Caenorhabditis elegans: one gene and its partner. Each later gene encodes a partner of the first gene's protein in a complex. Each region holds a gene or a part of one and is shown in the gene's direction. Other genes may lie near its edges.

The links.
Region 2: rpt-6 (region 1) and rpn-13 share a complex: the UniProt entries of both Caenorhabditis elegans proteins name them as parts of the 19S proteasome regulatory particle complex.

The regions. Positions count from the first base shown.
Region 1 is NC_003281.10:12,368,551-12,373,478, forward strand, and holds rpt-6 (26S proteasome regulatory subunit 8), read left to right. Parts: upstream 1-1,905; 5' UTR 1,906-1,910; coding exon 1,911-2,036; intron 2,037-2,088; coding exon 2,089-2,862; intron 2,863-3,556; coding exon 3,557-3,907; 3' UTR 3,908-4,058; downstream 4,059-4,928. Other genes in the region: his-72 (Histone H3.3 type 2), read right to left, coding at 494-500; glrx-5 (Glutaredoxin-related protein 5, mitochondrial), read right to left, coding at 4,087-4,311. UniProt on the Caenorhabditis elegans protein: Component of the 26S proteasome, a multiprotein complex involved in the ATP-dependent degradation of ubiquitinated proteins.
Region 2 is NC_003281.10:6,339,268-6,343,950, reverse strand, and holds rpn-13 (Proteasomal ubiquitin receptor ADRM1 homolog), read left to right. Parts: upstream 1-2,022; 5' UTR 2,023-2,027; coding exon 2,028-2,906; intron 2,907-2,952; coding exon 2,953-3,118; intron 3,119-3,163; coding exon 3,164-3,259; intron 3,260-3,490; coding exon 3,491-3,570; 3' UTR 3,571-3,838; downstream 3,839-4,683. Other genes in the region: C56G2.9 (DUF4604 domain-containing protein), read left to right, coding at 664-702, 780-870, 919-950, 1,003-1,195, 1,245-1,420; Very-long-chain 3-oxooacyl-coA reductase let-767, read left to right, coding at 3,996-4,041, 4,119-4,274, 4,449-4,683. UniProt on the Caenorhabditis elegans protein: May function as a proteasomal ubiquitin receptor. May promote the deubiquitinating activity associated with the 26S proteasome.

The DNA.
Region 1 (4,928 bases):
CGCGCGCTTAGTAGGTGCGCTGCGGTCGCGTCGCGTGTTCGATCGATAACGTAGGATTTCGGAAGTGATGATGAAATAGGAGGTGTAGGAAATTGCGAAATTCTCATAAAATTTGAAAAAGTTGCTGAATTATTCAAGACTACGTATTTCTAAATTCTTTTCTAAAAAAATTAGTTTTGTTAAGAAGTTTTCTGCTGATTTTCCTGATTTTAATGGATAATCCCGTAAAACCGCACTGAAATTCTCGCCGCGACGCGGCCGCTTCGCGCATAAACGTGGCATCTAACTAGGTCGAAATCGATGCTAAGCCGATAAATTCTTAAGAAACATCTACTTTAATGGACTACTTCCAACCTATACCGAAAAAGGCTGTCAACTCGAGAGTACAAAATAAGCCTGTGGAAAAAAAAGGAGAAGAAATGAGCCAAATTGCAGTATAAAGCCCGCAAAATGGTCCGAAAAGTTGGGAGAGCGCGCGCGCACACGCACGCACCTCTCATCACGACGACAAACAGAACAACTGACAATATATATTCGAATGGTGTCGGGGCGGGGCGGGAACGAGTAAGAAGTACGAAGCCAAATTGGTGTCCACACTATAACGTTTGATACTCAGCCAACACGAAGACACGTGACGACACAGAGAGCAAAGACTTGGCATTGTGCCAAGTCTCCGCCTCCTCCCCCCTTTTGTCGTATCGATTTTGTGGGGTCTGGACCAAATCCGGATTAAAGCTGGAAAACTTATGCCAAGAAATATCAAATCTTTCAAAAATCCTCATTGAAAATCTGGAAAATTAACTTTAAACTTCAGGTCGCGAAGGATCCTGAATCCACGTGGATTTTCAGAAAAATTACTAATCGGGCAAAATTTTTTAAAGAATTTCATTTCTAGCGATAACTTAGCGATTCATCCGTAGATTTTTATGAAATTCGAGTATATTAACCGGAATAAGGTAACGGACCAAACTGGAAATTTTCAGGAAAAAATATGCGAAATGAGCTGAGATATGAATTAAAATGCTGCGAAATTCGAATTTTCCAGACGGAACGAAACAACAAAATGCAAAAATTTTACGCGCGCTAGTTTAATCGGGGGGCCACTCTCTTGCAAACACACACTATTTCCGAAATGCGTGCCGCTTCTCTGCGGTCTCTTCAGTGTCGCCGCTGCTCTCGCGCGATTGCGGACTTTGAACGCATTTCTTGAGAAAATATAGTAAAAATTGGAGTTTCTTGGGATCGAGGAGGATTTTTTATTTAAAATATTCAAAGAAATTGCACTAATAGTAAAAAATCTGATTACTGTTCAAGTTGAAATTTCAAAAAAAAAAAAAAACAGAAACAGTAATTTTTCTCAATTCCACAGAAAATTGAAATACTGGATACTCTAAAAATATTCCTCTTCAAATATTAATATTTTCTAAATGATTTGAGGAAGTTTCAGAAAAAAACGCATTTCCAGATCTAAATAAAGGTTTATAACAAATTTCTGCGGGTAATTTTGAAGATAAAAACAGTAAATTGGACGAAAAATCTTTAATTTTCTAAATTTCGAAGAAAAACATCAAGAAATTAACATGAAAACGAGGAAATCAATCTAATATTTCTTTAAATTTAACGTAAACACAACTGTGCATTTTTGCGTCGGCGTGTACAGCATTGCGTACGTGGCGCCACAATTGACGCCATATTGGTTCTCCGGTTGAAATATCATCATTTTTAAAGTTTCTCAATTTTTATCAGTTTTCAAGGTTTGAATTCGTTTTTTTAGGCGATTTTTTCGATAAATTGGCTTGAAAATTCAATTTCCAGGGAAAAATGAGAGATCCACACGTTTCTTGTCGTGTTATTTCAGTTTTTATTAGTCTCAACTTATTTAAAGCTATTATTTATTTTTTCCAGTGTTAATGGCTCCACCTGCTTCTACTGCTTCATCAGCTGACCCTTCTAAGCCAACGGCTCAAAAATTGACCGAAGAATCCGATGAGAAAACTCTTCGCAAATATTTCAGCACAAAAGTCGATGATGCGCAGGTTTGTTGTATTTTTTAAAAAGTTTAGCCCAAGGGTTTATCAAGTATTTCAGCAAAAAGTGGCCGACAAATCACAAAATGTGCGTCGTCTGCAAGCTCAGCGTAATGAGCTCAACACAAAAGTTCGTATGCTGAAAGAAGAGCTTCAGCAGCTCCACGAGCAAGGAAGTTACGTCGGTGAAGTGAGCAAAGCCATGGATAAGAAGAAAGTTCTTGTGAAAGTTCATCCAGAAGGAAAATATGTCGTCGACGTGGATAAATCCATTGATATCAACTCACTGAACACAGGAGCACGTGTTGCACTCCGAGCCGACAGCTATGCTCTTCATAAGCTTCTTCCGAATAAGGTGGACCCGCTGGTTTCGCTTATGATGGTCGAAAAGGTTCCTGATTCAACATACGAGATGGTTGGAGGTCTCGACAAGCAGATCAAGGAGATCAAGGAGGTTATCGAGCTGCCAGTCAAGCATCCCGAGCTCTTCGATGCTCTTGGTATTGCTCAGCCAAAAGGAGTCTTGCTCTTTGGACCACCAGGAACTGGAAAAACACTGTTGGCTCGTGCAGTTGCTCATCACACCGAGTGCACGTTTATTCGAGTTTCCGGCTCCGAGTTGGTGCAGAAGTTTATTGGAGAAGGAGCACGAATGGTTCGTGAGCTCTTCGTGATGGCTCGTGAGCATGCTCCATCGATCATTTTCATGGATGAAATCGATTCGATCGGATCTAGCAGAGTTGAAGGATCCAGTGGTGGAGATTCGGAAGTTCAGAGAACAATGCTCGAGCTTCTCAATCAACTGGATGGATTTGAGGCGACGAAGAATATTAAGGTGTGCAAAAGGAGCATATTGACCGAATATCAGGATTTAAAAAATTCAAAAAAAAACATTTTTTCTAGATTTTATATAATTTTTTGAAAATTGAAAAAATTTCAGTTTTCCCTAATTGCTATTTAAATTACCGCCAATTAAACTCGTTCGTTGGAGCGCGCTTGCATTATTTTTATTAATTTTTTAAAAAAATTATTCTCATCATTATTTCACTGATTTTCTTCATTTTTTGGGGTTTTTTCATCGGAAAATGAAAGAAATAAATAAGAAAAATGCAAATTGTTCATTAAAAAATAACTGAAAATGCCTAAAACAGGTGAAATTATGTGTTCCGACGACGACGAGCCTGAAATTAATATTTTTCGGACTTTTTAACAAACATTTTGCATTTGTCTTGTTTATTTCGTTTATTTTCCGATTAAAAAACTTCAAAAAATGAAGAAAATCAGTGAAATAATGAGAATAAATTTTAAAAAATTAATGAAAATACTACAAGCGCGCCCCAACGAACGAGTTAAATTGGCAGTAATTTAAATAGGAATTAGGGGAAAACTGAGATTTTTTCAATTTTCAAAACAAAAAAGCATATAAAATCTAGAAAATTTTTTTGAATTTTTTAAATCATAATATTCGGTCATCCCACTTAGCGTAGTCCACCTATAAATATTCCAAGCTTCTATATATAAATGTTCAGGTCATCATGGCAACCAATCGTATCGACATTCTCGACCCCGCACTTCTCCGTCCCGGCCGTATCGATCGTAAGATTGAGTTCCCGGCTCCAGATGAGAAGGCTCGTGCCGATATCCTCAAGATTCACTCGCGCAAGATGAACTTGATGCGAGGTATCAACATGGCCAAGATCGCCGAGCAAATTCCCGGAGCATCGGGAGCCGAAGTCAAGTCGGTGTGTACCGAGGCTGGCATGTTCGCGCTCCGTGAGCGACGTATTCATGTGACGCAGGAGGATTTCGAGATGGCTGTTGGAAAGGTTATGCAGAAGGATTCGGAGAAGAATATGTCCATCAAGAAGTTGTGGAAGTAAAAATAAAAATGCAAATTTCGACTTTTTTTATCGATTACCCCCCCCCCCCTTTCACTGATTTTATTGTAAAAAATGGACCCTATTTATTTATTGTCTTTGACCTCCCGTGCTCTCCTTCTTTTGCTGAATAATGCAATCTTTATTCGAAAAAAAAACGTCTAAATTTCTAACAGGATTATTCATTGCTTCCCATATTTATTCGAGATTCCCTTTTCGTCTAAAAAGTCGGAAATCTCTCCGTCTTTGTGCATTGAAATGAGAATATCACATCCGCCGACGAACTCTCCCTTCACATAGACTTGTGGAATTGTTGGCCATTCGCTGAAAATCTTGACACCTTCTCTTAGCTCCTGATCGGTCAGAACGTTGTAGTCTTGGAATTTTACATTGTGGAAGTCGAGAACCTGAAATGGGAAAATGTGATTTTTTGGGATTTTTTCTTTTTTTTTTTAAAGCGAAACTATTACGGTAGCACTAAATTCTGAGAATACGTATTGCACAACACATTTGACGCGCAACATATGAAATATCTCGCAGCGAAAACTACAGTAATCCTTTAAATGACTACTGTAGCGCTTGTGTCGATTTACGGGCTCTATCAAAGCTGGTAAATCGACACAAGTGCTACAGTAGTCTTATTTAAAGGATTACTGTGTAGTTTTCGCTACGAGATATTCCATATTTTGCGCGTCAAATGTGTTGCACAGTACGCATTCTCGGCATTTTGTGGTTTTGTAATATTTATCATCGAATTTTTGTCGACTTCAAGCTAGGAAAGCTCGAAATAATGAGATTTTTCAAAAAATTTTAAAACAGCGGCCTTTTAAGCTCGAATTTTACCAATTTTACCAAAAGAATCGAATAAAAATCAAATGCTGGCCGTTGTGATACGGAAAAACTGGTAAAATTTATTTTGATTTTTTTTCTGAATTTTGCAATTTTTTTCAAAAAATTTGAAGAAAATCGTTCTTTTGAGGCGATTTTAAGCCCAAGAATTACACTAAAAATGCTAACCAATTAG
Region 2 (4,683 bases), 6.0 Mb from region 1:
AGCTTTTCAGTTTGAGCTACTGAAATTTTTTCGGGTTATCCCATTCTGCTTTAAAATTTTCTTAATTCAAGTTTGAGAACGGGCTTATTCTTGTGGGTCTTCCCACGATCAATCCAGGAAGAGAATGACAAGAGTCTTCAAAGCCACATTCCATGACCCTAGAAGGACTTAAAAATATAAATATTGAAAAGAACCCAATAGTAATTTTAAACGAGACAGGCTTCTTTCGTATATTTGCATCCTCGTAAAGTCTTTTTTGTTGGACAATTTCTTATTTAAAAAAATCACCAAAATTTTCTGAATGTTTTTCAGACTGAGTAGGACATTATTTTTTAAACTTCTATCATAAATCTCGTGTAGTTTCATGAAAAACTCCCACCCATTTTCCCACTGTCATGAGTCAACGGGAAAGCAAAATTCGAGTACAAATTAGTGTTCTCCATTTAATTTGTGGCGTTCAACACATAACTCGTTCGCCCCTTCATTTTTTCTTCTATTCTTGGTAGTCGCGTATCACTTCTTATTCTGATCAAATAAATTTTTTACAAAAAAATTAGAGCTGAGCATTCAGATTTAATTATTTTTCTCAATATCGTGAGAAAAGGTTTATTCAATTTTGCTTCAGCCACTTGCTACAAACTACACCATCTAACGGCTAACACCATGTTCAGCGAGCATAAGAAGAAGCAGGAAGAAGCAAAGGTTTGTTCTTATCTGTATTCAAAAACGAACCGTTACCCGACAAGGTTACGAATTTCAATCAGAAAAAAATGTTCCAGAGAACCGAGAAGAATGGAGAATTGATCTTCGATGACCTGGATGCAAAAACTCGTGATCTGAAACTATCGGATCAGGCAAAAAACGACAAAAGTGAGTTAAACCGAAGGAAAAGTGTTCATAAAATCATCAATCTATCAGAGTACATGTCGGAGATGGAGACCAAGAACCCGGTAAGTCAATTTTTAATTTGTTGAAAAAATAGTTGATTATCTGAAATTTTAGAAAAGAAAATCTATCAAGAAAAGCGACCAAAAACCGTCAACGATGTCGCTGAATGTAGGAAAGGGTGGTGTGGAGAAAGAGAAGGAAACGATTTCCTCGCAGCGGAGCAATAGTTTGGAATCTCCAGGACTAGGAAGTCCCCAAAATGTTGGTCTCGGGATCTTTGAGGCAGCAACTATGATGCGCAACATCGGTAGATCTTTAAAAAAAAGTCACGTAGACATCTAAAATTACTTTTTAAGTTGACATCACAACCGACTCGACCACTATGAAGACGGGTAAAACGAAAACATTGAAATCAAAGGAAAGCAAGACCTCACTTGGTTCGGCAAGTGGGCCATTCTCTCAGATGAAGGAGGCTCAGGAGATGAAGAAAAAGAGCAAAAACAGCTTTGAACTGGATGATATTGACAACTAAACTAATATGTTTTAATACTCATCGTGTATACCCAGTGAATTTGTTTTAAAAATACTAATACTAATCGGTAATTGGCATTCTCAAATTTTGCAGAGACCGATTTTGTCAAAATAATGTATTGAATAAAGTGGTTTGATTTTTAAGATATTGGGTAAAAAAATAATGAGGCAAATTCGTCTTAAAACGAGCGGAGGACAAGTTAAATACAGAAAAATAGAACACAAAACGTGACAAAATATCGCATGTACGGTGTGCATTCGGAAACAGCGTTTTGTACGCAAGCACTGAACACCACGAGCAAATGCACCACGAGAAAAGTCATCCTTTTTTAGCCAAATTTGGAACAATATTGTTAACAATTGTTTCTTCAATTCGAGTTATCTTTTAAATATTAAAAAAGACATTATATTTTTACTAGTTATTTGAATTTAATTTTTTTTGACGGGAAATAATTTGTTTCTGTCCGACATGTTACTTTCCAAATCAATTATCAATACTTCAGTTTATTTGTGATATTCATTCCTCGTAATTTTGCAAGTTTGTTCTCTATTTTTTCATCTTGGTATTTTCAGCTTCCTTATCAAACATTCATTTATTTATTTCAGAGATGGCTGCTATGTTCAGTAATACTCGCTCGGTCGCTTCCTCTTCTGGCCATATTGTCGAATTCAAAGCTGGACGCTCTCGCCTTGAAGCTGGATCCGGAGATACTATGAGAAAAGTTGTTGCTGAACCCAAAAAGGGATTGGTATTCATTAAGCAAAGTAACGACATGCTCATCCACTTTTGCTGGAAGGATCGTGAAACTGGCGCAGTTGTTGATGACCTCATAATCTTCCCCGATGACGCTGAATTCAAAGCTGTTCCTGGATGCCCTGATGGCAAAGTGTATATGCTCAAGTTCAAATCTGGAGATATGAAGCTTTTTTGGATTCAAGATTCAACACCAGACGTTGACAAGGATCTTGTGAAGAAGGTCACTGACGCTCTGAACAAGCCGCCGACATCTCGTCCAGCTGCTTCCCGATCGGCTGGTTCTAACGCAAACACTGATCGTCAGTCTGCTGGAGGATCACTTATCTCTAGCTCAGACATGAATGCTCCCCTTGGAGGCATCGATCAAGGGCAATTGATGTCATTGATTCAATCTCTGCAAGGCGGAAACTCTGACACTCTTCCAATTTCTTCCGTGCCTCGAGGAGAGGACGCATCGTCAGAAGCAGACTGCGAGCCTTCGACGAATGCAGCTGAGGAAGGATCTTCAAATCCACTTTCCTTGAATAACCCGGCGATTCAACAAATCTTCAACAACTTGGGACGCTCACAAAAGAAAGAGGTGGCAGTCTCTCTGGCAACTGCTCTGTCGAATGAAACGGTTGCTGAAGTTGCTCGTAACCACGCTGAAGAGCTCGCACCGCATCTTCCAACTTCTGATGATCCAGCCCGGGAGCTTTCTGAGACAGTCAGAACTCCGCAATTCAGACAAGTTGGTTTTTAAAGCATATTATATTTTAACTGTTCTCTATTTTCAGGCTGCTGATACACTTGGACATGCACTTCAAACTGGTCAACTCGGGCCAGTAGTTGCACAGTTCGGAATGGATGAAGCCACAGTTGGCTCCGCGAATCAAGGTGATATTCGTGGTTTTGCTGCTAATCTCACAAAGGCTGAGGGAGGAGAAGATGCTGCCAAGACTCGTAAGTTTACTTGAAATTCTGAAACATAGTCTCACGTTCGTTCAGCACGGGTTGATAACCCGATCTGCCGGAGAGCTGTGATGCCGTCCGCTTATCTCGGCTTCTTTTCCCCCTCAATTGCGGCAACGGTGTCTCGGCTAGGTACGGCGCACTCTCAGTTGTTGAGTTTTTACTCATTTTTGAATATGTCACTAATTGTGATTGTCCTTTTGTTTCCTTTCGCACTATGACCATTGCGCCATTCCTTGTAAAATTTTGCTGCTCTTAACACTTAACACCTATCCATTTGCTATTTCAAAAACAATTTTTACAGTACCGTAAACCTCTGTACTTTTGATAAAAACATCAATAACCATTGTTAATTGTTTGCAGAAAACTCGGACGATGACGCCACTCGCGAACCAGAGCCAAAGCGCAACCGTCCAGACAACGAAGATATGGATGTCGATTAAACTCTCTGAATAAACAAATTCTTCATCACTTTTGTGCATATTCCCCCTTAAACTGTGTTCTCCGTGTTCCTCTTTTTCCGACTCGTCCCTTTAGTATTTCTTCATCATGCCAGAAATGGTGTGATAAGATAGTAGAGCGATGTTTATCGACCACTTCTCTTCGCTCTCTTTCATTTATTCGACCTTCAAGACGTCCCCATTTTTATTCCATTTCGAGAACTTATTTATTCATTGTAAAGTACTGCAAATAAACCCTTTTTACCATCAATTTGAAAGTTTCGGAAAGAACTCGTAATAGTAGCGATTAGTTTTATATTTTTCAAAGTTTATTGGAGTGCATGAGTTTCAAAAAAGTAAAAACGTGACCTCATGAAAATTTTTAGTTTTCATATGTTTTCGTCATAAATAAATAGTTACAAGAAATAATGGAGTCGTCTGACAATTTACATGATATAGATAATCTTGAAAACGGTAAATAAATAGTGTATAATTTATGCACCTTGCATCTTTTCTGCCTGTTATTTCCATTGAAATTCTGTAAATTCCAGGTAACATGGCTTGCCAGTGCTTCTTGGTTGGAGCCGGATACGTGGCTCTTGCAGCTGTGGCTTATCGTCTTTTGACGATTTTCTCGAATATTTTGGGCCCATACGTTCTTCTGTCGCCAATCGATTTGAAGAAAAGAGCTGGAGCTTCTTGGGCTGGTTCGTTTCTATATTTTTACTCTGGTGATGTCTTATCGTATAGCACTCAGAGAACTACTTTTGGTTCTCTGGAACTGTTATCATTTTCAATTGATAATAAAATTGCAATGAAAAAATTGTTGCGTAAATATAAAATAATTGTTTTGAATTTCAAACAAAAAATACATTTTTCAGTTGTCACCGGAGCCACTGACGGAATCGGAAAAGCATACGCCTTCGAATTGGCTCGTCGTGGATTCAATGTCCTGCTCGTTTCGCGTACCCAATCAAAACTCGATGAGACGAAGAAGGAGATTCTCGAGAAGTATTCCAGCATTGAGGTCCGCACTGCCGCCTTCGACTTCACCAACGCTGCTCCTTCTGCTTACAAAGATCTTCTCGCCACCTTGAACCAAGTAGAGATCGGAGT